4 linked regions of the Schizosaccharomyces pombe genome follow. The protein of the gene in region 1 purifies or fractionates together with the protein of each later gene. This does not show direct contact. Each region holds a gene or a part of one and is shown in the gene's direction. Other genes may lie near its edges.

Region 1 (6,556 bases):
AATTATTACTTTATCGTTATATTACTTTAAACTAATAATATCATTCACCGATAACACATTATAATGTATACTGTATTCTAGTGTAGGGGGTAAATGGAGTCTGGCAGTAGCGCGTATATGTCTGAATTGAATACATATTTCACTTCACTACCAACCACCATTTTATCGTCTGTTTGACAGTATTTAAGCATGGAATTCATTCAGCGTCATATAGAAAATGTTAAAGAGAAGAAAAACTTTGCAGTTCGAGTAAGAATAACTTGATTAGCTTGAGAAAAGAAGAAAATCTAACGTGTTTTTAGTTGTATCGACACTGGGTGGACCGAACCATACCTTATACAACGTATAGATGGCTGACTGTTAGTGGATTAATTGCATTATTTTTTATTAGGATTCTACTGGTTCGCGGTTGGTATATTGTTTGCTATACATTAGCCATTTACCTGCTCAATCTGTTCCTTGCGTTCTTGACTCCAAAATTCGATCCTAGTGTTGAGCAAGCAATGAAAGATGAAGAAATTGAAGAAGGAGTTCTTCCTACTTCCAAAGACGATGAATTTCGACCCTTTATTCGTAGATTGCCAGAATTCAAGTTTTGGTATTCAAGCATGCGTGCCACCTTGTTCGCCTTAGTCGCGTCCTTTTTCCGAATATTTGATGTACCTGTGTTTTGGCCTATTCTTGTTGTCTATTATCTTGTACTTTCTTTTTTCTGCTTTCGACGACAAATTCAGCACATGCTCAAGTATCGTTACGTTCCATTTGATATCGGTAAGAAAAAATTTGGCTCACACTAGGTAGTGTTTGAGCTGATGATGACCATGATCGCGAAATTGTTTTTTTCTTAGAAAGATATGATCACATTCAGTTGATTATATTAATCGGATACTCCTCAGTCGTTCTCTTACAAACATTTGTTTTTTATGTTTTTATATCGCCCACTCTTACTTTTAAACATGTAAGGAATAATTTTTCCAGCCCTATGTTCTTTTTACGCGATAAAACTACTTTTTTCTTTGAACCCAGTAACCTGCAATTTCATCGATAATGATGCTAATTTCGATGCTTTGTAATCCATCGGTTCTCTGGGTGTACAGCTATCTTTCATGCATATTCAAGATGTTAGATATCTGTATCAGGCTAAAAGAAATTGGCGATTATTTCTGTTAACATGTATGTGGATTGTCATGCGGTGATGATTAAAAAAAAATCTTTCTTATTGGAGTTGGGTCTTTGATGAAGTTGATTAACGAACAAGTTACAGAATACTCGGCTTATTCTTGTATCCAGAAGCGCTGGAAGTGGGCTAATTTGAAAGACATGTATCTCTTTCGAAAAGCTTACTCGCTTCTTCACGAACAGTTGTATATGGATAATAATTAGCATGCAGGTACAAAAATAAATTCATTGAAGCAACAAAATGACATGAAATTCTTTACAGCTAAGGAGTTTTAATAAACTGCAAACCAAAATTTAAAAGGTGTTTGTCAAATTTGACAGCATGGCTACTGTAGTAAACATTTACGTACATGATAAAGTTAGTAATTGTATGGTATCGTCTTAAGCACAGACAGTCGATTTTCCGTTAGAACAGCACGAGGGTTTTTCTGATGTGCAACAGCTTTTCTTTTCTTGAGAGCAGCAGGAGGTTTTTTCTGTTGAACAGCAACCTTTTTTTTCTTGAGAACAGCACGAAGGTTTTTTCGATGAACAACAGCTTTTCTTTTCTTGAGAGCAGCAAGAAGGTTTTTCTGATGGACTAGAATCCTTCTTGGAACAGCATGAAGAACCCTCGTTGACGGATTTCAACTCGGCATGCTCTGTCCATAAACTTTTGCCTGTACAAGCACAAATTTGCTTGGTATTTTGACCCAAACCAGCGCTACGGGAAATAATTCCCATAGTGGCGGAATCAGAATCGTCGACACATTTAAGAACGAAACAGTGACCAATCCAATTTGGTAAGGATCCAGAAACCTCTTTGTCGAGAACAATTTTTCCTTGCTCATTGGAGTTTGCATTAAAAAGGGTAACAAGGCTATCGCCAGCGGATTTGAGTCCACGGGAAATGTCTCCTGAGATAGTGACTAATCCTGTATACTCTCTATTTGGTAGGAGTTGAGTAGCAATCAAATCGAGGAAAATTTTCTCCTCGGTGGGAATAAAACGGCAAAGTCCGTAAACTTTGGGAATCTGGGTTATATCTTCATTGGCTTCATAAAGAATGGAAACGCCCGATTCTTTGTTACTAGCACCACGAATGAGAATGGGCTTCGAAGTGGCATTTTCCAAGCGCCGAAGGACTTTTGAAGGAGAGACTGAAAATCTACGTTAGCTAAGAGTAAAATGAGAAAAATAGGAAGTAAAAGAGGAAGTCAAACAATTTACTTTCAATTTTATGAACTAATGTAAAGCAGGATGAACTCACAAATCTCTCTTTTCTTCCTCATTTCTTATTGGTTTTATCACTTACCAGAACCCTTCACAATTAATTGACCAGTTGCAGCATCCCATTTCCAATCTTCAATGTTTAAATCTTGGAATTCCTGCTCGAGGGTATTCTTATTTACGTCGTCACAATCCTTAATGAGATATTCAACCTAAAAATTTTATTAGCACTCTTTGAACCAAATTTTCAAACAAATGCCATACTTCAAACATGTTGAAAACAAAAAGAAGCCGAAAGCAAAATAAGCCTTTAATATGATATTATTGATGTTGGCAAATGGCAACTTCTACGGAACTGCGTAAGGTGGTGAGATTTACTTTAGAATGGAAGGCAAACTCAGTATGAAGATTAGTCAGAAGGAAAGTTAATGGTATATTGAATTGAAAAATGCAAAATATGAACGTCAATTTTTAAAGAATATCATTGATTTTATTAGAAATGACAATGAATGTTGGATTTTTCTATTTATTATTATTTATTTTTTTAAATTTTTTTGGAAGATTTGTTTTTTATTCCAAGCGAGTTAAATGGCTTTTCTTTCTGTTGGTTTATAAATGAACATAGAGATTGTATTATTATTTATTTTTCATTAATTTTTTAAAGACCATTTAGCTGTAATTGTTAGTGTACAACTCCTTCGTTTGATTTAAAAAAATAAAATAAATGCTATGGGCGATAGAGAGATGTAGGAATATCTAAATTCTAAGTATTATTTTTCTTATATTATGGAGAATTTGAACGTTCTGTTTAGTGATTACAGTACTCTCACAATTTTAGTGATTCGTATATATACATGAATTGAGTATTCTCGATTTCTTTTCAAACAAAGAATCGAATTCTGTTGGCAATTTTTTTTTTCATTCATCTATTATTATTTTAGTATTAATTTTTTCACTTCAATCGAGATTATATATTTGCTCCGGTTTGATCTATTTGCCTTTCAAAGACTTAGTATATTACATTACTACCAGTACTGTGAAACATCTTATATAGAATCCATGCAATTGATATTCGTCCATACTAGAATAAAATTTATAGTTATTTAAAATGAATTAATTAAAGTAAACTGTTGCCGAAATTCTTCAACCAATCTTTTTTGTTTATACTCGAAAATCTGCCAACTAGCGAACGTTTCATGGCCATTAGAGAATATGGGGTTTTTAAACTATGGAACTGAATGAAAGGAAATGGGTTCATTCGGAGTCCCAACCGCTTTGTATATCGCCCGTTTTCCAGAATTATGCCTTTCCATGCCTATATATATGGAATCATACGTCAACCTATTACTTTCCAACTACCAAACACTTGTGAAGCGAGAAATTTCTTTGACAACGAGTTTTACTTGGTTTTGTACTAAATTTTTGAACCCTGCTAGTGTCTTAAAAAAATTTGAAAATGGTAAAGGTTTGCCTATTTGTTGCGGACGGCACTGATGAAATTGAGTTTTCGGCACCTTGGGGAATTTTTAAGAGAGCAGAAATTCCCATTGACAGCGTCTACGTTGGAGAGAATAAGGACCGACTTGTGAAGATGTCTCGTGACGTGGAAATGTATGCAAATCGTTCATACAAGGAAATCCCCAGTGCAGATGACTTTGCAAAGCAATACGATATTGCTATCATTCCTGGTGGTGGACTCGGGGCAAAAACACTTTCTACAACTCCTTTTGTTCAACAAGTGGTTAAAGAATTTTACAAGAAGCCTAATAAATGGATTGGAATGATTTGTGCCGGTACCCTTACAGCCAAGACATCAGGTCTTCCAAATAAACAGATTACTGGTCATCCTTCTGTTCGTGGTCAACTAGAGGAAGGTGGCTACAAGTACCTTGACCAACCTGTCGTCCTTGAAGAGAATCTTATCACATCTCAAGGGTAAGTTGCATAAGACAAAACGAAGTCCAACAAGCTGATTCGTTTCTGTTTTTTTTTATTTCTTCATTAACCTATATGCTAACATGTTCTTTCATTAGACCCGGTACTGCAATGCTTTTTGGTTTAAAATTATTGGAGCAGGTTGCAAGCAAGGACAAGTATAATGCTGTCTATAAATCTCTTAGTATGCCCTAGACTACACACGACGAAACGAACTCGCCCTTGAATAGTCTCGAGATGCTTTGGTTTGATTTCTAGAAGCCTCGGACTCGGTAGCACGGGCGGCACTGATTTCTGTATTAACGGCGTTTGGGACTGATGTGGAATTTGCCGGTCTCGCACCTGTTATACTAGATGATGATATTAGCTCCGCAGCTGCCGATTGTGCCGCCCGCGATGATTTTGATGAATTTTTACCATGCTTATTTTTTATTTTCTTTTGAACACGGTTCCCGTGATGAATAGTTCGAGAGTAAAGTGAATTCCGTATTTTAGAATCGATTGTTTTTTCATTTACCTCATTTGGCTTAACATCAGAAGTAGCACGACTAGAAAACATACATGTTAGTAGTGTAAAAAAACTAACCATAGATGTAATAGAAGGAGTGAGTTCAAAGCAAAATTGTCGGTGATTTTGGGAAAAAGAAATTTAAACTAGACATTAGGATTTTCTATGAAACAATTTGGCAGCCTATTGAGCTTTAAATACGTTTTCCATCACCGTTAGCTATTGACACCCTTTCCTTCAAATAATGCACCCTTTCTTTTTTTTTTAAACATACCTAAGTTTAACTGGACGGCTTCCAATATATTTACCATTTTTTTCTCGCCAGGCCTTCAAAAATTGATCAGAATCCTTAAACGATACAAATCCAAAACCCCTTGTTTTACCTTCACGATCTCTAACGACTTTTGTTTTTACGAGAGATGGATATTCACTAAAAGCCTGGTATAAACTCTCGTCGTTAACATCATTTCCTAAATTTCCAACAAATAGACGAAAATGATTTGGATCCCATTCGAGCAAAGTCGGATCTTCCCATACTTGTCCACCAGCCTTTCGTACCACCGTCGTTTTCACACGAGACATGATAAATTTCGAGTAAACTGAAAGATATGTATTTTGGTTGCACGCTTGTGTGGAGTTTTTTGCTAACTGCGTCTTACGGTTTTCGCGAATTGACGCTCAATTGATAAAAATTTAGCAACTATAAATAAGAAAGATAATATAAAAACTGATTGAAAGGGAATTAGCAATTGTACTAAAAAGAGTAGTCGAAAGGTAATAAAATATTTAGAGTATCGAATTCTTTTCGTCCTCCACAAATAACGGGGTTGAAAGAATCGCAATTGAAGTATAAGGAATGTAAGCTACGTAGTTTGGTATCTGATTTAAGGATACGTAGAATTACGGTGAGTTTTCCTTGTGATCTATTATATTACAATACACAGGTTGTATAAGTAGCAACTGAGTATAGGTATTGTATTAACTGGGTTATAATGTTACCTATCACTAATATAGCTCATAACTGAACTGAGGAACGAGGTTCAGCAGTAGCTCTATTTATAGTATTCAGATAATATAGATCTTAATAGATTATCATTAAGATCAATCTCAATTTCGTATCATACATAGTACGATATATAATTAGAACATGTGACATATAGTGATACGCAACGTAGTGTATCATAGCGTAGTGTAGTATTGCTGACAAGGAAACATAACAGTTACAATAACTGTCTTTAAACTATAAAGTGTAGCCTACGTTATAAACGAATATATATGTAAATTTCAATAAAATAATACCAATAGCATTATTAAAATAAATATATTAAATGGATGAAGAAAGAATATTATTGAACAATGAAAAAAACCTGTTTAAACATAGTGCTAAGATCTTTAATCCTATTCACTATACAAAATTCCATCATACAATGCGATAGAAAATTAATTGTCTCAATCAAGATTTTTATCTTTACGCTTTCAGTGAAAATGAAACATAGAAAGAACATAAGGGGCATATGTATGTAGAAAATAAGTAAATCAAGTCTCCTCATAATTATGAGTTGACTATATCAACGATCTCCAGTTGATTCGTGGAATGAGTCAAATAAGAATCGAGGAATAATTACCTTTCCAAGCATGCAATGTGTGTAAGTATAAATTGTGAATTCAAATATACAAAATTAAGTTTGTCTATAATAAAGAATTAAGATTATTTCACCATAACGA
Region 2 (6,773 bases), on another chromosome or scaffold:
TGTTGGATTATTCATTCTCATTTTCTATTTATTTACAGAACGATCGCTAATAAATTTATATATATTAATTATGATTTGTTTATTTAAGTTAGCAATGACCGTTACAATAGCAGATTTTTATTTACAAGTTTGACTTTTGAATTATGTTCCGATAGTTTTTCGCTCCTCCGTGGGCAACTAACTAGTAAACAAATGCTACAATAAGGTTGTTTAACTCATGAATATAGAAGTATATGATACGTAGAGTTGTTTATTAATCAGTATCCATATATATATATTTTTTATAGAATTTTCAACTAATAATTGGGATACGATACATATGTTAAACTAATATGAATAGCGTAGACACTTTGCTTAAACGAGATATATACATTTGTTTATTTCATTGATTTTTTTTTTAGCTATTTGGACAGCTACATCAGAATTTGAAAGCAGCGCCTTTGGTTTATACAATCCATTACCTTTGTCAGAGAAAGTATAAGGAAAGCGGAGAGAAAAAAGTCAACGTATATGTAAACTTCCGGATGCTTTCTAATTTTACATATTCTTCCAAATAAAACCCCAAATACTATCCCAAACTATGATAGCCGCTAAACACATAAATATATTTCATTAAAGACTCTCATACGAAAAATGCTGTAAACATATCATTAAAATATGCTAAGCTGCAATAACGAGTCAGGCCCAACATCTCTTTGGTAGACTTCACGAAGATCCACAGTCCAACAACGAAGCTTTACCAATTTAATTTAATCTCCGTTTGCATTATTAAAATATGTCTAAAGGTCCAGGAGATTTTAAGAAGTCTTGGAATGGGTTTGCTGCTCAAACGCCACAAAATACTCCATCTTCAGATGTACATCTTAGTAAGGCCGCATTAGAAAAAGCTAGACAAACCTTGCAATCACAACTGGAGGACAAATCAGCACATGATGAAGTTAGCGGGTTATTGCGCAACAATCCGGCCATGTTATCAATGATTGAGGGACGCCTTAGCTCGTTGGTTGGAAAGTCGTCGGGATATATAGAGAGCCTTGCGCCAGCAGTCCAAAATCGTATTACAGCATTGAAAGGCCTTCAAAAAGATTGTGATGCAATTCAATATGAATTTCGTCAAAAAATGTTAGATCTGGAAACAAAATACGAGAAAAAATATCAACCTATTTTCTCTAGAAGAGCCGAAATTATCAAGGGTGTTTCTGAACCAGTGGACGACGAATTAGATCACGAGGAAGAAATATTTCAAAATAATCTTCCAGATCCTAAGGGAATTCCCGAATTTTGGCTGACTTGTCTTCATAATGTTTTCTTGGTTGGCGAAATGATAACACCAGAAGATGAAAATGTCTTGCGATCACTCAGCGACATTCGTTTTACCAACCTTTCGGGAGATGTTCATGGTTACAAACTAGAATTCGAATTTGACTCAAATGATTACTTTACAAACAAGATTTTAACGAAAACTTATTACTATAAAGATGATTTAAGTCCTTCGGGTGAGTTTTTGTATGATCATGCTGAGGGTGATAAGATTAATTGGATCAAGCCTGAAAAAAATTTAACGGTTAGAGTGGAGACAAAAAAACAACGTAACCGTAAAACAAATCAAACTAGATTGGTCCGTACTACGGTCCCTAATGACAGTTTTTTCAACTTTTTCTCACCTCCTCAGTTGGACGATGATGAATCTGATGATGGTTTGGATGACAAAACAGAGCTTTTAGAACTCGACTATCAATTGGGAGAAGTCTTTAAAGATCAAATCATACCCTTGGCAATTGACTGTTTCTTAGAAGAAGGTGACTTGAGCGATTTTAACCAAATGGATGAAGAAGACTCTGAAGACGCATATACTGATGAGGAGGATCTGTCTTCAGATGACGAAGAAATTTTGAGTAGCGAAATTAGTGATTGATATTTATATTGTGTTCGTTAGATTATGAGTAAGTTCAATGTGAGCAAAAATGAGAAATTGACGCTGAATGATAATTTCGCTTATAGTTTGGTAAGTTTATTGTGGCTTAAAAAATTAAAATGTTGATTTACGTCGTAGTATCCTATAAAATATTTAATAAGCGGATCTAAGTTAGGATTTGTCTTTAAAATTTCAATTTGTTTTCTTGTCTTTTTAAATTTTGAATTTTTTTTTCCAATGCAGGTATAAAAAATATACTAAGTAATTTTTTATCATTCTGTGAGTATATTCTACTTACATGGTTCCTTTTTTAATAGCTAGTATTAGGTTAGTACGCGCATTATTTGAAGCTGTGGTGTTATTTATTAGCATTTGCTTTTCTAAAATGATAATGCGGACAGCCAGCAAAAAGTAAGCGGCTATTACTATAACTATCTGCAATAGCTTTTTCTATTTATTTTATACGTCAAAGCTAGATCTGTTCGTACATTAATTAACAATCTTTAAGTGCATTGTTAGCTCACACCGAGTTTATATGATAAGGTATAAGAACTAGTACTAGGTTGGAAGAACTACAACTAATAACGGTTCTGACAATAAATCACTACCTCTTGTAACTCTAAGTTTAGTTACTTCGATTGTCAAAACGTAATTATTATATGAACACAAGTAGAGATGTCTATTCATTCTCTTCACCAATCTTTCAAAAGAATTATATTGAATACCTCTAATTTGTTGCTGAGACCTAAAACAATTGCTTTTCAAACAGCAGGAACCCATCTTTTGCTACATATGTTTACCTTACTAATGAGAAGTTATGAGCTGCAAATAATAACACTGCGATGCTACTAATGTCATTAAGTTAGCTTTAGCGTTGTTTACCTTCGTTAACTAGAGGTTTTACAGATTGTTTCGAACTCGTAAAAATTTTTAGCGTTGCAGAATTGTGTTCGTAGTCACACCAACTGTAATCCTCTCTGCTATCCTAAAAATTTTACAGACCCATTACCTACCACAAAAAAAAATAATGGCATATACACCAGGTTCAAGAGGTGGACGAGGTGGCTCTAGAGGAGGCCGTGGTGGTTTCAATGGTGGCCGTGGTGGTTTCGGCGGTGGCCGTGGAGGTGCCAGAGGAGGAGGACGCGGTGGTGCTCGTGGCGGTCGTGGCGGTCGTGGAGGTGCCAGAGGAGGCCGCGGTGGTTCTAGCGGTGGCCGTGGTGGAGCCAAAGGAGGTGCTAAAGTTATTATTGAGCCTCATCGTCATGCAGGTGTCTTCATTGCTCGCGGAAAAGAAGATTTGCTTGTCACCCGCAATCTGGTGCCTGGTGAATCAGTATACAATGAAAAACGTATTAGCGTTGATTCCCCAGATGGTACCAAAGTTGAATACCGTGTATGGAATCCTTTCCGTTCTAAACTTGCCGCAGGTATTTTGGGCGGTTTAGACAACATCTATATTAAACCTGGTGCACGTGTTTTATATCTTGGTGCTGCTAACGGTACATCCGTTTCTCACGTTGCTGATGTTGTTGGTCCTGAGGGTCTTGTCTACGCTGTTGAGTTTTCTCATCGTTCTGGACGTGATCTTCTTAACATGGCTAAAAAGCGCACGAATGTCATCCCCATTGTTGAGGATGCTCGCCATGTTCAAAAGTATCGTATGTTAGTCGGAATGGTTGACGTTGTTTTTGCAGACGTTGCTCAACCCGATCAGGCTCGTATCGTTGCTTTGAACGCCGCCGCCTTTTTGAAAAACGAAGGTGGAGTTGTTATCTCTGTTAAGGCTTCTTGTATTGATTCTACCGCTGATGCAGCTGTTGTTTTTGCTCGTGAGGTTAAGAAAATGCAAGAGGAAAAGATTAAACCTCAAGAACAACTTACTTTAGAGCCTTACGAACGTGATCACTGTATCATCGTAGGAAAATACTTGAGACATCAGTAAACAGAAATATATGCCATAAGTGCATGCTTTTTTAGTTTATCATATAATTTTTTTTGCTAGAAAAGCTTATGGTAAGGCCGTGAGCAATTGGAATAATAAAAATATATTTTGGGTATGCGTTTGGCAGTTTTGTCAATTATTTTCTCATTGTTTGATCCAATATGGGAATTATGGAATATATATTAATGCCGTTAGCATTCTTTTTTTTGAACTATCGTACGCACAGCTACCGAAAAAGAGTTTTAGTATGAGTATTTAAAATGGCTATCATTATTTTTAGCTGCTAAAAAGAGTTATGTGCTTTATCGCATGCTAAAACATAACAGGGTCTTTGAAATAAATCATCTTATTATAATACTGAAAAAACTTAGTAGACATAAAGAACAATATTTAATTTATGTAACCTTTGGGATTATAAATAAGGATAAGTCTTATAATTCCAAAGGGGAGTTTTACGTCTTCCTTTTGCAGCAAAAGATATCCCATTATTGTATTCTGAAGGCAACTTGAAATAGTTTTCTAAATCTTTAAAGTGATATTCATGGGATTTGCTCCATTTTGGATTTTTGGTCTTTGTAATAAGTTGAGCATTAACACCTTCAACAAAATCAGGCTGTTTAAGCATATAATAGGAAACGATATGATCATAGTAAAATGCTTCAGATATACTCCACTTAGCAGCAGACTTAATAAGTCGATTGGTAACAGCAATTGAAGTCGGAGATTTGCTATACAATGTTTTAACGGTAGATTTTGCAAATTCCGCTAAAGCACTAGTGTTTGAAGCATATTCTTTTAACGCACGAATAATATCAACGGTATCATTTTTGCAGAAGCATTTATTAATGACATCCATAACGTCTGGAGTAAAAGTGGGTGGTGAACTGCTAGCAAATTCGGCAAATTCCAGGATTGTATTATTGATTTTAGAAATATCAGACGTGTTTAACTCTGCAAGCCTGTCCTCCAAATGAGGAAACATATGCTTCGGAACGAAATGAGTTGCAATTCCAGTACGCAGGCAATCATATCCTTTTACGATTTGAGATGTCAATCCCAGATAAGTTCCAAAGTATCCTGGTAGTCTACTGAAGAAGAAACTGGCAGCCACGTCAGTAAAATAGCCAATTCCGGTTTCTGGCATAGCAAACATCGTATCTTCACACGCAATACGGAAAGGAACATGCATAGCCAAACCAGATCCACCTCCCATGGTGATGCCATTCATCAAAGCCACAACTGGTTTCTGGTATGTAGCTAACGTATGGCTTAATCGATACTCTTGAGCAAATGCATGGCGAACTTCAGGTAATTTTCCATCTTGTATTGAAAGTGCTGCAGCTTTAATGTCACCTCCCGAACTAAAAGAGCGACCATTTCCTTTAAGAATAATTACCTTGGCCAGATTTGATTCTTCTAATGAAACTAGCTTTGGTAGGATTGAATCTATCATGTCAACGTTGATAGCGTTCAATACTTTTGGCCTGTTTAAAGTAAATATCCTTGCTCCATTTTTACTCTCGTATAAAACTGTATCATTTGAGGAAGTGCTATAAAATTTTGGATTTCGAATAAACGCTCTAGACATGGTGCTACTTGCATTCAAAGAAAGGAAATTTGACACACTTGTTTTAAGTAAGGATTGCCTTAACATAAATCCAGATTTTTTCAAATCGTTAGAGATATTTAATTTCAATCCCATGAAAGCTAACCAAGTTAAATAACACCGATTATTTTTGCATAGACGGTTAACGTCTCTTCTACGTTACTTTATAACGAAGTGTGTTCTTAATTGTGAACTAATAACAAATCACAAAAGACCATTCGTAAAACAAAGTAGGTTTCCATGCATTAGCTGGGCAAATACTTGTCTCAAAAAATCTATATTTAGTATTAATTTAGTTTCTCAGGGTTTGTCGATTTTAAAAGTCTTAAACCACTTGTTGCATAGCATTGAGTACTCAAAACTGTTATTGTAATACACAGGTGCTATTTGCAACAACAATTTAAGGTGTCAGAATGAGCAAATTCCAAATATTTAATGTACGACATCACATAGTATAAATAATTATTTCTTCTATTTTAGGTAATGAATGAGATATCATTAATTTATCTAACAGTATACAGTCATAAAGTTCCTGTTGCATAAAACAACGTAATTTAATGAACTCGATACTTTACGCTTTACGATACTTTTGAATGCACAATATGTTATAATGAAATGCATTGTGATACTTAGTACATTGTGTTAGACTAATTGAAAGTAAAATACATCCATTCTTCAGGTACTAGTCGTCCATTTCACAAACTAATCAGAATGACAGCAAAAATGTTGCACTTGGTGCGATATAAATTTCCGTCGTTGGAGCCCGCGAGTCTTTTTCTTATTCCCGGAAGTTTCCTGCAAGAAAGATTTCGTCGAGATATTTTGCATCGTGCCGTTATTTATGAAGCAGATAATGACCGTCAAGGCACTGCTAGCTCAAAGCGCCGAAATGAAATTACTTGTTCCGGTCGAAAACTTTATCGACAAAAAGGTACAGGACATGCACGGGTAGGCGATGCCTCAAGTCCTATAAGAAGAGGTGGTGCTAAATCACATGGTCCTAAGCCTAGAGATTTCAGTACAAAATTACAAACCCAAGTTTATAATTTAGCAATGAGGATTGCGCTAAGTACAAGATTTATTAATAATGAACTGACCATCCTTGAAAATCCCATCAACTTAAGTCAACCAAAAACACGGATTTTGCTTGAAGTTTTGAAGCAACACAAGTTAGGACACGAGTACGGGAAGGCACTTTTTGTCCTTAACGATAATTACTTTGAAGATGAGTCCCTTAAAAATAATAATTTATTGCTTGCATCTAGACAGTTAGGCTACCATTGCTCCTTTATTCCTGTTGGTGAGTT
Region 3 (8,427 bases), on another chromosome or scaffold:
AGCTCGTTATTCTTATTAAGGATAATGGAGGTGCTTTTTCTTACTGTAATTAAAGAATTGTTTGATGTCAGCAATACTACACTACGCTATAATACACTACGTTGCGTATCACTATATGTCACATGTTCTAATTATATATAGTACCATGTATGATACGATATTGAGATTGATCTTAATGATAATCTATCAAGATCTATATTATCTGAATAATATAAATAGAGCTACTGCTGAACCTCGTTCCTCAGTTCAGTTATAAGCTATATTAGTGATAGGTAACATTATAACTCAGTTAATACAATACCTATACTCAGTTGCTACTTATACAACCTGTGTATTGTAATATAATAGATCACAAGGAAAACTCACCGCAGTTCTACGTATCCTTAAATCAGATACCAAACTGCGTAGCTTACATTTGAAGGGATTTAACAACATAATGGAATGTAGTTGACAGATGTGACGTTGTATATCTTTGAACAGGTATACAGAGATTTACGGATACCCAGACGATAAATAACGACCGTTGGGGTTAGCAGTTTTATTCTCATCAAATTAAGAAAATGTGTGTGCAAGGTAGTTATTGTTTTTATAAGGTTTTCTAAATTTCAATACTTTTAGTAGTCTCATCTTGTAGCAATCTGATCAGAAAGACATTATCATCTTTCGCATTCTGAAAAACATGAAATAGAATGTCAAGTGAATTTGAGTAAAGAACCGCACGTATTGATGTGTTCGATTTCAGCAACGTACTTGATTTTAGAAGCTCCATTATATGATTTTAGTTTAGCTAGTTAGTTTTATCTCCAGAAAATTGACAGGTATTCAATATTTACTGATTTATTCATAGTGCGCTAAATGCATCTAAGTACTGTGCTGTAATTATGTTCATTATACCCAGTATATCAGCATCTAGCAGCAAATATACATTTATGTAAATACATTTACATTTCAAATAGTAGCATCTCCAAATCGTCACAAATTGTAGAATTTACATATCTTTTTTTAAAATACTGAACGTTCCTTAATTTGATGAAATCACTTCGTCTACATTTCTATTATGTGACAATATTTGTAGGTAGCAAATATTCAAATTGATTAAAAGATTTTTTGAAATCGAAAAAAATTGTGAGTTTAATCATACCTTTCTGAAAGAAATATTTCAATTTTTTTTAAAAAAATTTGAAGGGTCTGACAAGCCTACCTCATTTTACATTTACTTTCATTTAATTATTTTTTTAAACCTGACATTAAAACAAAGTAACTCGATATAACCCTGAAAAATAATAATCAATTAAAATAAATGAGCAATCAATAAAAAAGTTATTATGTCTTTAGGTTGCAAACTTTTAAGCTGTTTTGTAATCTGAAAATCATATATGTTATAATATAAAGTAGTATATTAACAAAATCCAGTCTTTATAGCATCTGGTACCTTTTGCAAACAAAAGTTATTTAACAAGTTTAGAGTGCAGAAAATCGCAAAACTGCTTAGAGAATTGACGCAATCATAAAAACATAGAATGAAATCGCCTCGAGGAAAAATCACAATTTGATCAGTTTGCACACTCATTAAATCAAAATTATCTTTTCTACGAAATTGTGCTCAAAAACATTGAACATAGTGATTTAATACCTTCCTATTTTGTATGTTATTGTTGGTTAGTGTCAATAAGTTGATGTATTTGTTTATCCCATAATATGTAAACAAATGTCCATAGCTAGAGCTTATAAATAATTTATGCCAGCACTCAAACTTTTGACAAACAACAAACATTGGAAATATTTAAAAGTAAAGTATATTATTTTAAAACACTTAGCTGTTCGTCTTGTCTTCTATTAATATCCGTTGTGCAATTCTTCTGGATCAGAAAGCTAAAGCAGAGACGAGGAAAAAGGAATTTGGGAAAAAGCTGTCATTTACAATTTATCAACCTAAAGGAAGAGAACGTATAAGAGGAATTTATTTAAAACGTTCCTCGACTAGCTTATTTACTCGAATCCTACTTGTCTTCTTTTCCCTTAATCACAAATACCTTCAATCATGATCATTATTGACGGTAAGAATTATGCTTGGTAAGACTTTTTGTATGGTTATAAGATAAAATTTTTAACACTTACTCTAGTGTTGTATGCCTTCGAGGTCATCGAGGCTCATCCTGCCAGCATCAAGAAAGGGCACTGATAGAAGTTCGAACTAGAGGAAGGCCGTTACTATGGTATGTCACATTGATCAGAAAAAAAATATTAACTTGAAATTCAGCAAAAAATGCAGAGCCATAAAACAACAACTTAAGAGTAATTTAAAATGCGTTTGTCATTTGCAGCCTTTTCTACCCTTCGCCAATGAGTATCAGGAGTTATTAAATTTCACTCAGAAAAACCCAATATTGGCTAGCCTTTTTTTGTTTTCAACCGACAAAGATATTATGAATTCTTCTTTAAATCCTGCAAGTCAAGCCTACACCTTCGATTTAGGAAGAACACTACCCATCAGTGAAGATATATTAGGATATAGGAAACCTCTTTCACTAACAGATGCTTCTAATCGCATTGATGCAAGTCAATTGAATGAAAAAGAAAACGATTCTTTTACCATAAACCAAGAGGCCGATATTTTCAATTTCGCAAAGTACTTACATTCCAAAGACGATATATCCGGAATCCCTTGAATTCACAACTTTCGTTATTATTCCAAATAGCGACAAATGAAGGTTATTGTCATATCATATGTATAAGTACTCTCACATAAAGTATTCAATCATAAAAAGATGAAGTAATTTGAATGTTTTGGTCGTCTAAAAAGGTGCATATAACATTAGAGAAATCTATGTATTCAAATTTACTGGGGATCAAACACCATTTCAAGGATTTCCCATGGGAAGTGAAATTTAGAATAGTTGTGTATTGAATAGCGTCAATATTACTCTGATAAAGTTTTCACGGGTTTTTCTTTTCTTTTTCCACATTTAATTTAGCCTGGCAGTTGATAACTTTCGACGATGATTCAGGCTCGGAATGAGGAATAACAGAAGGGTTTTCTTTTAATTTAATCACAGAATCCTTTGAAATGAGGTCCTCCTGAGGAAGTAAATTGGACTTCCGGACAGAAGGGCTAGCCATCAATAAAGCTGAATCCTCTTCATCAACATTTTTCGTTTGACGTGTTGAAACTTCAGGGGTAACAAGAGGTATGTTTTTAATATTCCATGGTGACAGAAACGTTGGTGTCGCAAAAATTCCAGAATGTCTGGAGGAGGATACTGAACCTGGACTGGCGCTTAGTTCACTTCGATTTTCTAAGGCATTATATGAAGCCGGATCTCGGGGCCTCTCTCTTCCTTGATAATCTTTAAGATACAATGCAATTTGTTCGTCAGGTAATTGTAAAACTGATTCTTGGGTAGTACTTTCGAGCGCGCATAATCTAATCAAATACTCCAGTAAAGTTAAATTAGGTTGATCTTTTATAGTCGATGGAAAGGAAGACTTTTTCTTTGCAACGGATTCTTGTTTTTTGATGCCTAAAAGCTGTAGCCTAGCAGCTTCAGAATCACTAAGAGATTCTGCAAGTTCATCAGATTCGTCTAATGATTCATTAGGTATTGATACCAAAGGAAGTGCTTCTAAAGCTATCCAGTTCGAAGGTGCTGTATTTGAAGAATACTCTGTTTCATCATCTGCATACTTGAGTAATAATACGGGAGTTTGTACATCATCTAACCGAAGAAGTTTACCGGACAAACTAAAAAAAAGCGTGCGCACATCATTTAGTGAAATGGTTTTGGTGACAGGAGTCTCATCTTCATCATGGTAACGATCATCATCAAAAGATTGTTTTAAAGATAAAGCATAGGCTAGAACCGTATCCTTGGACTTCAACCGTTGAGGAGGCATGCGAAACATTTTGGCGATACAAACAGGCATCTCTTCTTTCCACATGACTAAATCATTGCTTATATAACCAGACTTGGCGTGGTTATCTATAATTTTATAAGTTCGCAGGAAAAATGTGGGGCCAACTTGTAAAGGTTCATTTCCAGTAAATGCAACATTCGCCCTATATATGTATGAATTAGCTCGTAGAAGTTGGGAAAATGAAGTAGATTTTGGAAGAGAAGATGAAATAGAAGCACCAGAAGTAGTGATGGACAGATTTAAGAGAGGAACTGCATCATTAATTTTGAGAAGTAAAGTTTTCATTTCACGAAGAATAGACGTATCAACGTTCTTCTGCAAAGTTTCTTTTTCTGAGGAAGGCGGAAATTCCGAATGAGCGGCGCTTAAAACATGCTTGGTGAATTGTTCGATGTCAGCGTGCAAAGAATCCACTAATTGCTTAGTACTCTTAAAATTTTCATTTTCACCGACTGACATTATTTCAATTAGTTCGATAGCAGGCGTCACAACTCGAATCATTTCAAGCAGTTGAGTTTTCACAGACTCCAATTCACTTTGATCATCTGCAGAGGCACGTTTAATATAGCTGCTAACTTGCTGAACAGCTAATTTTCCTGCAAATGATATACTATGTTTCAACGCGAAGTTCGTAGCAAATGTCGCAGCATGAGAAGCTACATTAAGTAATTCATCCATTTCTAAAAAGGCGGCTTTAAAAAACACAAGAGAAAACAAGGCTAAACAAATAAATAATGGTCATTCAAATTGTATTTATTCCTTTTAACAACAAATTAATAACGAAATAAAAAGAAGCGTAGTAAATTGAGAACCAAATAGAACTTGCGCTAAGTCATAGTGATATGTGGAGGATAGAAGTTTAATATCCAAACACGCCTATAGAATTTTGTATAAGGAAATCCTAAAGTGAATAATTATATAATGGATTTACATATTGAATCTTTTGGAACTTGCTTGGTATATATTTTGAAGCTGTAACGCTGATTCATCGTTTCTTCCATGACAAAATCCTTGCAGTGATTATTGGTGACAATGGAGACTAATTAACCAATAGATTTAAAAACTTTTGATTAATTGTTCAACCCAATAGCTAATAAATGTTGTGTTTGGTATTAAGCCCACCGAAGTTTCTGTTTTTTATCTCCCAAGGCAAGTCAATATATTTTACCTGTTTAAGACAATAATAGCGTATTACTGAAGAAAAAAGCGAGAAAATGACCAATTTACAATTCAGTTGCTTCCGATTTTACAACCAAATGTAAAATTAAACTCAAATATAATATTTTATGAACTTAACTGAATTACTATAGCACAAGCTTATATAAAGGATGCTAATAATATCATCGTAAGTACTCGTAATATTATATTATAAAAGAATACACAGTGTATACTGTGGTGTAAATTCTCTTCAACATCACCGTCCCTTTACCACATATTTTAATAAAGGCAAAAAATGGCTAGTAATCAGCCAAATAACGGTGAACAGGATGAGCAACTCGCCAAGCAGACTTCTAAACTGTCGATGTCTGCAAAGGCACCTACGTTTACGCCTAAAGCTGCTCCCTTCATTCCTTCTTTCCAACGTACGTTTTTTAATTAGAACACCATCCATATGTCTTGAGATGATTGCTTGTTTTAAGTAAAAAAATTATTAACTTCTTGCTAGGCCCCGGATTTGTACCTGTGAACAATATTGCTGGTGGTTATCCTTATGCCCAATATACAGGCCAAGGACAAAACAGCAACTCGCCACATCCTACGAAGAGTTATCAGCAATACTACCAAAAGCCAACAGGAAACACTGTTGATGAAGATAAAAGCCGTGTCCCTGATTTTTCTAAAAAGAAGAGTTTTGTGCCTCCTAAACCAGCAATTCCCAAAGGAAAGGTTTTGTCCCTGGGTGGAAACACCTCTGCTCCTAAGTCTACAAAGCCCATTAGCATCAGCCTTGGTGGAACAAAAGCTCCTACAACTACCAAACCAGCAGCACCTGCTGCACAAAGCAAAACAGAGACCCCTGCACCCAAGGTTACCTCTGAGTCAACAAAGAAGGAGACCGCTGCTCCTCCTCCCCAGGAAACTCCTACAAAATCTGCTGATGCTGAACTAGCAAAAACACCCTCTGCTCCAGCAGCGGCTCTTAAGAAAGCTGCTGAGGCAGCTGAACCCGCCACTGTCACTGAGGATGCCACCGATTTACAAAATGAGGTTGATCAAGAGCTTTTGAAGGATATGTATGGAAAGGAACATGTCAATATTGTTTTTATAGGTCATGTTGATGCAGGAAAGTCTACCCTGGGTGGTAATATTCTTTTCTTGACTGGTATGGTTGACAAGCGTACTATGGAGAAAATAGAGAGAGAAGCTAAAGAAGCTGGTAAAGAAAGTTGGTATCTTTCTTGGGCTTTGGACAGCACTTCTGAAGAACGTGAAAAAGGTAAAACCGTTGAAGTTGGTCGTGCTTACTTTGAAACCGAACACCGTCGCTTTAGCTTGTTGGATGCTCCGGGTCATAAAGGTTACGTTACAAACATGATTAATGGTGCTTCTCAAGCTGATATTGGTGTTTTAGTCATTTCAGCGCGTCGTGGTGAGTTTGAAGCTGGTTTTGAGCGCGGTGGTCAAACTCGTGAACATGCCGTATTGGCTCGTACACAAGGCATCAATCATCTAGTTGTCGTTATTAATAAAATGGACGAACCTAGCGTTCAGTGGTCGGAGGAGCGTTATAAGGAATGTGTCGATAAGCTCAGCATGTTTTTGCGTCGTGTCGCTGGATACAACTCAAAGACTGATGTTAAATATATGCCCGTTTCTGCTTACACTGGTCAAAACGTTAAGGATCGTGTTGACAGTTCGGTTTGCCCGTGGTATCAAGGTCCATCTTTGCTAGAATACTTGGATTCTATGACTCATTTGGAACGCAAAGTGAATGCTCCATTCATCATGCCTATTGCCTCCAAGTATAAAGATTTGGGTACCATCTTAGAAGGAAAGATTGAGGCTGGTTCGATTAAGAAAAATTCAAACGTATTGGTTATGCCAATTAATCAAACCCTTGAAGTTACAGCCATATATGATGAAGCTGATGAAGAAATCTCTTCTTCTATTTGCGGTGACCAAGTTCGTCTCCGTGTCCGTGGTGACGATTCGGATGTCCAAACTGGTTATGTTTTAACATCCACTAAAAACCCAGTTCATGCTACTACTCGTTTCATTGCACAAATTGCGATCCTTGAGTTGCCTTCAATTTTGACAACTGGTTATTCTTGTGTAATGCACATTCATACCGCTGTCGAGGAAGTTTCATTTGCCAAGTTGCTCCATAAACTTGACAAAACAAACCGCAAAAGCAAGAAACCCCCCATGTTTGCTACCAAGGGTATGAAAATTATTGCAGAGTTGGAAACACAAACTCCGGTTTGTATGGAAAGGTTTGAGGACTATCAGTATATGGGCCGTTTCACTTTGCGTGATCAGGGTACTACGGTTGCAGTTGGCAAAGTCGTAAAAATTTTGGATTAGGGTAATTTCGGCAATTTTCTCGTGCTCGGGATTTGTTTCTATGCAAATGTATGACACTTTATGGTTCTACTGTATATAATCCAACTAGGACAAAATGGGATTTGCTTATTTTTTAGTTGGTGGACTAGCGGTATGGTAGAAGATGTATATCTAATCGTTATATACGCGTATTACTATGCCTAATTTCAATGCGATGGGTTGTATATATGAAGAATAATGGACATTCACTCCTTTACACCCTATTCACTTTGAAATTATTTACTTTTTTCGTACAGAATTCAATGCGAGGAGTAGGTCAGCAAATAGTAAATAAGCAGTTGCACTTTGCAGCTATGGAAGGGTGAAATGTGATAATAAGTTGTTGTTTTTTTACAATCCATATTAATGATTAAAACTACACTTGAAATCTTCATAATATTGTAAAATAATAGTTTATTTAAATCACTAGATATACTGAAATTTATTGTGCTACTACACCAAATCTTACCGAATAAATACCGAGGTGGATCATATTTACAGTAATCCGATCATTCTACCGTTTACATTCCACCAGCATTTCTGTACCGTATCCGAATTTCACGTACTCTTTTGACGTTGCTTGGTTTTAAGAGTAAGCATTGAAGTGTTGAAAGGTATAGTTTTTGCTATTCCGTTTAGGAATACGGGACATTGACGTTTTGAGATGACACTGCTGGAGCTCCAAAAAGAATGTATGGTTATTTGTGCTGGTGTATTACTAACAAATAAGTGTTTCTTAGCAAAATTAATTCAGTAGAATGTGCTACGAAGGTAAGAGATGGAACCCGTGAAACTTATAACGTGCACTGAAATGTTTACTGGGAATTTTGATTTGGATATTGTTTAAATGGAATTGAATTTGTGAATATGCAGCATATTATTTCCTCCGACATATTTTTTTTAAACTATCAAAATTGGCCTATTTCTAATTTGGAGCCGTTCAGTTTCACATCTTTGGCTTTTGGTTTG
Region 4 (9,435 bases), on another chromosome or scaffold:
GCATTGTTTCACTTAACTTTCATGTTTCATTCATACAAAATTCCTTACTCATGAGATTTATTTCTACAGTTACCAAAAGGAGACCATTCCAAGCTCCAAATGATCTTGTTCATCCACTTTCGAACATTTTAGGTAGCCTGGTAACTTATGACTCTCGTTTACACTTACCTCAACCAAAGGACAGGCAGTGCTCGACTCTAGTCCCTCTTTATCGAAGACTATTAAAGGCAACTCGAAGATTCTGGGATCCAATGGCATCCCAAATCCTAATCTCACATTTTCAAGCTTACGCCCGAAAAGCTCGCAAGTCAAATCCTAATCCTCACAAGCGGCGCATAAAACGGTTTCGCAATCTCCTAAAAACTTTTGCATGTCGTATTGAGCGCGCCAATGATGGCGACCATCAAGCTATATGGCAGACTTTACGATACGCTTATTCACAAACAGGTCCTCTTCGTCATAGGCGTCTTCATTATTTACAAGATAATAAAATTCGACCTTCAAAGATACCCAAAAGTTTACCATCTAATTCACCAGTTCGTCTTCCTTACATTTCATCCCTATTATCGGCCGTTTTTGAGATAAATATGGAAAATGCAAAAATCCGCCATTTGCCCAGCGTCATATTTGACGGTTTAATAGAGAAAAACAAAGATCGCCCTTACCATATTAACCTTAGTTGCAAGAGGGCATACGACGAACTTTTGCCTCGTATTGCTGTCCCACTCTTACCACATGAATATCATCACTTGCATTCACTTCTCTTAGATGTCACACTTCGAAATCCACAAATTTCGCGACCACCGTTTGCACCACTGAACCCCAGAAAGGGGTTCTGTCGTATCTTACAGAGATCGCTCATAACCTTTTTGAGTGCCGTTTGCTATTTGCCTTATAATCCTCACCCTACCTCCAAACCTGTTGTATCGTGGGACTCTTTGTCAGACATTCAGCTCAGGCTAAACGTCGGAAAGGTTCTTAAAAAGTCAGTCAAAAAAAGGTAGCAAATCGTGTGCTTTAAAAAGTCAGACCAAAGTTTGTAATGTATAATCTTCATTTATTTTGAAGAGTCCTAATTCGTCATCATTTTCATCTGCTTGTTATGAATCATTTATTTTTTTTTTCATAAATATTTAATTTCTTTTGCTTTACGGTCCGGATGCATGCTAATAAATCATCGTAACTCAAGTAGTCTATGTGATTTCTTAATTTTCTACATCACTTTAGTATACCAATGAATTTACTATCAATTTTTATCATACTCTATGAATTAATTCAATACAAGACTTCTTTTTTCCTTTCAGTGCTCAAATCATTCGCCGGTTTAATTTTTGGATTTCGTCCACACACATGCATGCTCAAGTCTTCTGCCTAACCATACTACTTCTTCTAGCCTTCAGACTTAAAAGCTTCGCCTTTAGAAAACATCTCTATTCCTTCAAAATTGGTGAAAGAGATTAGCATTCCTAATCATTTCCATTCATTAATATAGCTTCTTTTGGTTTTTTCTACGTGAACATCTATTTTCAAACACCTATCGTTTTCTCATATAAAAATTGGCAAATGCTGTACATAGTGGATTTTGACGAGACAATTACCACCTACGATACAATCCACCTCCTAGCTGAAGCTGTTAATAAGCCCGAAGAATGGAGCGTAATATCTGATAAATACTGGCAAGAGTATTTGGCTTGGCGTGAAGCATTACCGCATTCTACCACGCTAACATCTTATTTACCTCTACTAGGAGGAAGTCGATATCTCGAAGAAGCTAGTATAAAAAGAATTGAAAAATCTCAATATTTTTCCGGATTATCGGAGGGTGCCCTTGACAACATCGTACAACTGATCACCCTGCGCGCAGGATTTGTAGAGTTCATCAATGCTTTGGTGCCCGATCTCCGTGTAAGCAAAACCATTTTCCACGTTCTTTCCGTCAATTGGTCTGCAAGAGTAATCGAACAAACCCTGCTTCACCATACGGACTTAACCGCAGACTTGTTGTGTGTCCATGCCAACGACTTTGACTTCGATACGTCTACAAACACAACAAACGGTAGGATACTTGCGAGAAATGCAAGTTCACTTCTAATGAATTCTACGGACAAAGTACGAGAGTTTCGGCGAATAGTGCAAACAGACGCAGTTTCGTCTCCACTTAATGTTGTCTATATCGGTGATTCCCCTACTGATTTCGGTTGCCTCCAGATATCCCCCATAAGCATTTTGATGCGTTCAAATCAAAAGTACTATGATATCTTGTCCAGATTCGAGGATGTGCAACTTGTTGATATATCTGAATTCCCCGTTCAAAAAGCTGTGCCAGGTAAAAAAATCATTTACACTTGTAGCGACTGGTGCGCTATCCAAAAGGCATTTCTCGCATAAAGCTTTTCTTATCGTCAAGAGAACACAGCGGAGAGATGATCAAAAGCTTCAAAATTTAAGTTGTTGATATTTTTGTCGTCAACAAAAAAGCACCGCGAGATCAAGGCGATCAAATCTTCTCAATAAAGGTCATTGGAGAAGCTTTATGGAAATATGAATAAGGAGAACGTTCACAATTCCTCTGTTTTCCATCTCTCTTGGCTTCTATGTAAAGCCGGTACAACCCTTATTTTCTTTACTTATTTTCCATCTCACTTTCTTCTTTCAAATCTACTGTTTACTGTCGCTTGTTAGTGCTCCTTGCATGTCCGTTAAGCCGGTTCAAGCTCGACCGAATAAGCGGACTTACCGAGACAAGCGAAGCTCTCAACTAATCATACAAGTACATATTCTAATCATGATGATCTGTATTCGGTTAGGTCATTTTCTTCCAATCAAATTTTTGATTTTTTTTACCGACAGTTGAATTGCGATTACGCTTATCTTTACTAACTACGATTGGCCTATATTTCGGCTATCAGCTAAGGAGACCAGCTAGGGTTCCGTTATGCCTCGTTATATTGTGTGATTGGTGTGAACGCAGAGGCTGCCGTTTTCATCAAACCCTCTATCTTCGAAGCAATAGTCTTGCGTAATTTTGCATATCGAGTCATCTCTCCTTTAACCAGCAACTACATCTAGCGTTAGCTACTCTGCAAAAAAACGTTCGTATTTAGCAAAGAGGGTGCAATTTGCTAGTCTCAGTATTGGGGCGATATAAAATTAAAGATGACTTCTAAATATGATGCGTTGTTGCACAATCAAAGTACCAACACAAACCCTTTCAGCAAGTTGCAGGATCGTTCCTCCTTGTTAGGAGAGAAGTTTACCAAGGTGTTGGTAGCTAATCGATCTGAAATTGCTATTCGTGTCTTCCGAACTGCTCATGAACTTTCGATGCACACTGTCGCCATTTACTCGTATGAAGACAGACTGTCGATGCATCGTCAAAAGGCCGACGAATCCTATCCAATTGGCAAGGTCGGTCAGTACAGTCCAGTAGGAGCTTATCTGGCTATTGACGAAATCGTCAGCATCGCCAAACGCACCGGTGCCAACTTGGTTCATCCAGGATACGGTTTCCTTTCCGAAAACGCCGAATTTGCCAGAAAGGTAAACGAAGCTGGCATGCAATTTGTAGGCCCCTCCCCCGAAGTCATTGACTCTCTTGGTGACAAAACGAAAGCTCGTGCAATCGCCATTCGCTGTGGTGTCCCAGTCGTTCCTGGTACTCCAGGTCCCGTCGAACACTATGAAGAAGCTGAGGCTTTTGTTAAGGAATATGGCCTCCCCGTTATCATCAAGGCTGCCATGGGTGGTGGTGGCCGTGGTATGCGTGTCGTTCGTTCTGCCGATACCTTGAAGGAGTCATTTGAGCGTGCTCGTTCTGAGGCCCTTGCTTCATTTGGTGATGGCACTGTGTTCATTGAACGCTTTTTGGATAAACCCAAGCATATTGAGATTCAACTTATGGCTGATAAGGCTGGAAATGTCATTCATTTACATGAGCGTGATTGTTCCGTACAACGTCGTCATCAAAAGGTCGTGGAGATTGCTCCGGCCAAAGATTTGGATCCTAAGATCCGTCAAGCACTTTATGACGATGCCATCAAGATTGCCAAGGAAGTGAAGTATTGCAACGCCGGTACTGCAGAATTCTTGCTCGATCAAAAAGGACGTCACTATTTTATTGAGATTAATCCTCGTATTCAGGTTGAACATACGATTACTGAGGAAATTACCGGTGTCGATATTGTATCGGCTCAGTTGCACGTTGCTGCTGGTTTTACCCTTCCAGAAATTGGTTTGACCCAAGATAAAATTAGCACTCGCGGCTTTGCTATTCAATGCCGTGTTACCACTGAGGATCCTAACAATGGCTTTGCTCCCGACATTGGTAAGATTGAAGTTTATCGTTCCGCTGGTGGAAATGGTGTCCGTTTGGATGGTGCTAACGGTTTCGCGGGTTCTGTCATTACTCCTCATTATGACTCTATGCTCGTCAAGTGTACATGCCATGATGCTACATATGAATATACCCGTCGTAAGATGATTCGTTCATTAATCGAGTTCCGTGTCCGTGGTGTCAAAACCAACATTCCTTTTGTTTTGCGTTTATTGATGCACGATACTTTTATCCAAGGAAACTGTTGGACAACTTTTATTGATGACACTCCTGAATTGTTTCAACTTTATCGTTCCCGTAATCGCGCTCAAAAACTTCTGGCCTACCTCGGTGATCTTGCTGTCAACGGCAGCTCTATTAAGGGCCAAAATGGTGAGCCAGCTCTTAAGTCGGAGATTGTCATGCCCGTTTTGTTAGACAGTACAGGAAATCAAATTGATGTTTCTCATCCATCTGAAAAAGGTTGGCGTAAATTATTGTTAGACAACGGTCCTGCTGCCTTTGCCAAGGCTGTGAGAAATCACAAGCGTGGTCTTATCATGGACACCACTTGGCGCGATGCCCATCAATCCTTATTGGCTACCCGTGTTCGTACCATTGATCTGGTAAATATTGCTCCATATACGAGCCATGCCCTTGCTTCCGCTTATTCTTTGGAGATGTGGGGAGGTGCCACCTTTGACGTCTCTATGCGATTCCTTCATGAATGTCCATGGGATCGTTTGCGTAGACTCCGTAAGTTGGTTCCTAACATTCCTTTCCAAATGCTTTTACGTGGTGCCAATGGTTTATGCTATTCAAGTTTGCCGGATAACGTTATTTACTTTTTCTGTGAACAAGCCAAAAAGAACGGTATCGATATCTTCCGTGTTTTCGATGCCTTGAACGATGTTAATAACCTTTCTCTTGGAATTGATGCTGCCAAGCGCGCCGGCGGTGTTGTTGAGGCCACTATGTGTTACTCTGGCGATATGTTAAATCCCAAGAAGAAGTATAACCTTGATTACTATGTTAACCTTGTTGATAAAATGGTTGAAATGGGTATTCACATTTTAGGTATCAAGGATATGGCTGGCGTTATGAAACCTAAAGCTGCTCGTCTTCTTATTTCTGCCATTCGGGAGAAACATCCAGAGTTACCTATTCATGTTCACACCCACGATTCTGCCGGTACTGCTGTTGCTTCCATGGCTGCGGCTTTGGAGGCAGGAGCTGACGTTGTTGATGTTGCAACTGATAGCATGTCTGGTCTTACATCCCAACCTAGCTTTGGCGCCGTTTTGGCCTCTGTCGATGGTACTGATAAGCAATTGGAGTTTGATAACAATCAATTACGCGAAATTGATAGTTATTGGGCTCAAATGCGTTTGCTTTACTCTCCGTTTGAATCTGAAATCAAGGGTACTGACTCAGATGTGTATAACCACGAAATTCCCGGTGGTCAATTAACCAACCTTAAATTCCAAGCTACCTCCCTTGGATTGGGCACTCAATGGGCTGAAACTAAGAAAGCGTACATTGAAGCCAATAAATTGCTTGGAGATATTATTAAGGTCACTCCCACTTCAAAGGTGGTTGGTGATTTAGCCCAATTTATGGTTCAAAATAAACTTAGTGCTGAGGATGTTGAGAATCGTGCGACCACTTTGGACTTCCCTGCTTCAGTACTCGATTTCTTCCAAGGCTTAATGGGTCAACCATATGGCGGTTTTCCAGAGCCTTTGCGTACTAATGTACTTAAAGGTCGTCGTCAACCTTTGACTGATCGTCCAGGTAAATTCCTTCCTGCTGCTGATTTCGATGCTATCCGCAAATTATTGTCAGAGAAGTTTGGTGTTTCTTCAGATTGTGATATCGCTGCCTACACCCAATTTCCTGGTGTCTTTGAGGAATATCGTCAATTTGTCGATCGCTATGGTGATTTGACCACTGTTCCTACTAAATTCTTCTTATCTAGACCTGAAATGAACGAAGAAATGCACGTTGAAATTGATCAAGGTAAGACTTTAATCGTTAAATTTGTCGCTCTTGGACCATTGAACCCTCGTACTGGACAACGTGAAGTTTATTTCGAGTTGAACGGTGAGAACCGCCATGTTACTGTTGAAGATAAGAAAGCAGCTATAGAAACTGTTACCAGACCTCGTGCTGATCCTGGTAATCCTGGACACGTTGCAGCCCCCATGAGTGGAACAATTGTCGAAATTCGTGTTAAGGAAGGTGCGAAGGTTAAGAAGGGAGATATTATTGCTGTTTTAAGTGCTATGAAGATGGAAATTGTTATTAGTGCTCCTCACAGTGGTGTGCTCAAGTCTTTGGCCGTTGTTCAGGGTGATTCTGTGAATGGTGGTGATTTGTGTGCTGTTCTTGAACACGAGTAAATTTACGATTCCAGTTTGTTGGATTCTGCTTCAGGTTCATTTCATCCGTGGGTGATGTGTGCTTAGATGCGTTTAAAAGAAGCGGCTTGGAGAAATGTTTTAAAGTTTTATTTTGTTAGGTCGCTGAGTAATTTGTTCCATTTGAACTATTTAAGGTTTATTAAACGATTGCAGGAAAAAATATTGGCGTTTGCCTTAATTATAAATGAATAGGTATTTTGTTTAAGGTAATATTCTGGCACTTAGCTGGAAGGTTGTGTATATTGATTAATTCGTATGACTGTAGCATAAACGAACTTTTTATAGATCGATTTTTAAATTACCCTTTTTTTGACAACTAAACTACTAAATTTTAGTACGTAGTTTCACTGAACCAGCGAACTAACGTTTCATGCTTGAAGTGCATTACGATCTCAGAAGAAACGCATATGTTCTAATCTTCCAGGTTATCAATTTTCTATTATCAGTGTCAATGTCAATTGCGTTGTAAACTACTAGCTATACAACTGCTCATACAAGTTTTTTCAGTTTGGAAATTACAAGGCGCTATTGGAATTCACTAAAGTATACAAGATGAGGAATTAATTTTCAATTGAATGTAAGCACAGTAGTACCAAATGAAGTTTACTTTCCTAAAACGACGGCATCATACTTTTGCTTGAACCAGTTGATGGTGTCCTCAGCATTGATTTTGTGAGTGTAACCAACACGGCCACGTTGGGCCTTACGACGAGCTACACGCATACCAGGGCGGTCCATGACAACGTAGAAATCCATACCATAAATACCAATGGAAGGATCGTACTTGATGCCCAAGTCAATGTGCTCCTGGATACCAAAACCAAAGTTACCGGTGGCAGAAAAGTTACGCTTTTTCAACTCGTATTCCTTGACCTTAAGGCCACGCTCTAAAATCTCCTCGGCCTTGGGACCACGAACAGTAACATGGCAAGCAATCTTCTCATTACGGCGGATACCAAAACGACGAATGGTATAACGAGCCTTAGAAAAAACGGGGGTTTGACCCGAAAGTTGCTCCAAAACCTTGGCAGCACGGGTGAGACGATCACCAGATTCTCCCAAAGAAATGTTCAAGACAAGCTTGGAGATACGAAGCTCCTTCATGGGGTTTTGAGCCTTCTCTGCCATGGTGTTTGATGTAGGTAGCTCGTTTTGCGTCTCCTAGTGTTGTTTGCATTCGAAATTAACAGTCACTTGTTTAGGTTAGGGCTCTGAATAATGTCGTTGCCTTAGAGTTTGCTAATTGGGAAAAGATCAAAATCGCTTATTTGATAGAATTTTTGTATTCAAAGAATTGAATCGTTCACTTTCTTTAAATTTTCATATTTTTTTTTGTAGGCTTCCAAAAGTCTGGGAAGTGAAAGCATATTTTACAGATACATACTATGAATGAAATACCACAAAACGAAAGAGTCAAGTAAATAAGCATAATTGATTAGAATCAAATAATAGTAAATATAGATTTATGACTCTTCTATTTACTTATTGCTTTACTATAAGGAACTAGTACCATCAGGTGTACTAAATAGGTATAAATTCGCTGTAGAGTAAATGTTGAAAATAGTCTAACTAATTAATAATGGAAACATTAAATACTGCACAGAGATCCGAATGTATAAAATAGGGATGTAGATACGCATCTATTAGCACTGTGTATCAACTACATGATTCATCAACTGTACTAAAATCACACACCGTGTACGAGACATCGTTAAGTTTAACCGTAGACATTACCATTGTTTATTTTTTAAAAGTTAAAAAATGAGAATTCATCTTATACAATGTTTACAACGATAAAATCTAAACTTTTAGAGTCTTACCCTCAACCACCTTAGCCCAACCGATAAGCCGCCAGTGTTTTTCAATACGTCTGCTGAGAGCCACCTTTTCACCAATTTCGGTACATGCTGGGGCGGTAAGAAGGATCTTTGCCATATCTGCTTTAACCATCATAACACGGCCACCAGTGGAAGTGGAACCGATGTTGACCATCAACACTTCGTTTTTGGCAAGTTTTTGAACTTTAGTGGTGTTTTTATCACCACTCTTTACACCCAAAAGACGACGGAGCAAAAAGTAGTTAATTTCGAGCTCGGTATAAACTTCTGGAAGGTTGCCCTTGGAACCCAAAACTTGACCAACTAGACGATCGGCACGGCAAAGAGTAGGATCGACTGTTGTACCAACACCAATCAAACCACCAGGCACGGCTATTTTCAAATCGTTGTGTTCAGCGAATAGGGAGATAATACGGGAGAAAATAGGTTGGCATCTGATGCGGCCATCATCATCCTTTGTAACAATACCAGGACGAATTTCGATTTCATCATTTAAACGAAGAACGCCAGTCAAAATAGAACCACCAGCAACACCACCCTTAAGGTCATCAACTTCAGCACCAGGCTTGTTAACATCAAAAGAACGAATTACAATTAAACGGGGAGCAGTGGTAAAGTCACGGACAGGAATGGGAATTTTCTTAACAATATATTCGAGAATGGCATCGATGTTATATTTAAGTTGGGCAGAAATAGGGACTATAGGAGAGTTCTCAGCAACGGTACCCTTAATAAACTTCAAAATAGATTGATAGTGTTCCTCAGCAGCTGATTCGCGAATCAAATCCACTTTGTTCTGAAGGATGATTATGTGCTTTAACTGCATAATTTCGATGGCAGCCAAGTGTTCACTAGTTTGAGG

The links.
Region 2: the proteins of sdj1 (region 1) and fib1 purify together in Schizosaccharomyces pombe (affinity purification with mass spectrometry, with the first as the bait; one large-scale study listed by BioGRID). This does not show direct contact.
Region 3: the proteins of sdj1 (region 1) and sup35 purify together in Schizosaccharomyces pombe (affinity purification with mass spectrometry, with the first as the bait; one large-scale study listed by BioGRID). This does not show direct contact.
Region 4: the proteins of sdj1 (region 1) and pyr1 purify together in Schizosaccharomyces pombe (affinity purification with mass spectrometry, with the first as the bait; one large-scale study listed by BioGRID). This does not show direct contact.

What each region holds. Positions count from the first base shown.
Region 1 is NC_003424.3:5,021,041-5,027,596, reverse strand, and holds sdj1 (glyoxylase III Sdj1), read left to right. Parts: upstream 1-3,745; 5' UTR 3,746-3,844; coding exon 3,845-4,323; exon of another isoform or gene 4,324-4,421; coding exon 4,422-4,518; 3' UTR 4,519-4,519; downstream 4,520-6,556. Other genes in the region: Rer1 family protein, read left to right, coding at 190-249, 303-797; superoxide dismutase Cu chaperone Ccs1, read right to left, coding at 1,561-2,318, 2,474-2,600, 2,653-2,661; SPOM_SPAC22E12.02 (splicing factor, WW domain -binding Rbm42), read right to left, coding at 4,520-4,871, 5,106-5,413. UniProt on the Schizosaccharomyces pombe protein: Catalyzes the conversion of methylglyoxal (MG) to D-lactate in a single glutathione (GSH)-independent step. May play a role in detoxifying endogenously produced glyoxals. Involved in protection against reactive oxygen species (ROS).
Region 2 is NC_003423.3:2,979,851-2,986,623, reverse strand, and holds fib1 (fibrillarin, rRNA and histone methyltransferase), read left to right. Parts: upstream 1-2,913; 5' UTR 2,914-2,942; coding exon 2,943-3,860; 3' UTR 3,861-4,220; downstream 4,221-6,773. Other genes in the region: nucleosome assembly protein Nap2, read left to right, coding at 776-1,915; snr1 (mitochondrial 37S ribosomal protein mS47 ), read right to left, coding at 4,273-5,562; yml6 (mitochondrial 54S ribosomal protein uL4m), read left to right, coding at 6,178-6,773. UniProt on the Schizosaccharomyces pombe protein: S-adenosyl-L-methionine-dependent methyltransferase that has the ability to methylate both RNAs and proteins. Involved in pre-rRNA processing by catalyzing the site-specific 2'-hydroxyl methylation of ribose moieties in pre-ribosomal RNA.
Region 3 is NC_003421.2:1,530,085-1,538,511, forward strand, and holds sup35 (eRF3-like class 2 translation release factor sup35), read left to right. Parts: upstream 1-5,314; 5' UTR 5,315-5,368; coding exon 5,369-5,498; exon of another isoform or gene 5,499-5,532; intron 5,533-5,581; coding exon 5,582-7,440; 3' UTR 7,441-7,927; downstream 7,928-8,427. Other genes in the region: Cu metalloregulatory transcription factor Cuf2, read left to right, coding at 2,042-2,073, 2,124-2,216, 2,261-2,669; SPOM_SPCC584.03C (GTPase regulator), read right to left, coding at 2,938-4,593; SNARE-binding protein Sec1, read left to right, coding at 8,123-8,150, 8,189-8,229. UniProt on the Schizosaccharomyces pombe protein: GTPase component of the eRF1-eRF3-GTP ternary complex, a ternary complex that mediates translation termination in response to the termination codons.
Region 4 is NC_003423.3:2,188,153-2,197,587, reverse strand, and holds pyr1 (pyruvate carboxylase Pyr1), read left to right. Parts: upstream 1-3,050; 5' UTR 3,051-3,156; coding exon 3,157-6,714; 3' UTR 6,715-6,943; downstream 6,944-9,435. Other genes in the region: protein cup1, read left to right, coding at 51-1,004; SPOM_SPBC17G9.12C (hydrolase), read left to right, coding at 1,564-2,388; rpl1102 (60S ribosomal protein uL5), read right to left, coding at 7,339-7,863; translation initiation factor eIF2 gamma subunit tif213, read right to left, coding at 8,536-9,435. UniProt on the Schizosaccharomyces pombe protein: Pyruvate carboxylase catalyzes a 2-step reaction, involving the ATP-dependent carboxylation of the covalently attached biotin in the first step and the transfer of the carboxyl group to pyruvate in the second.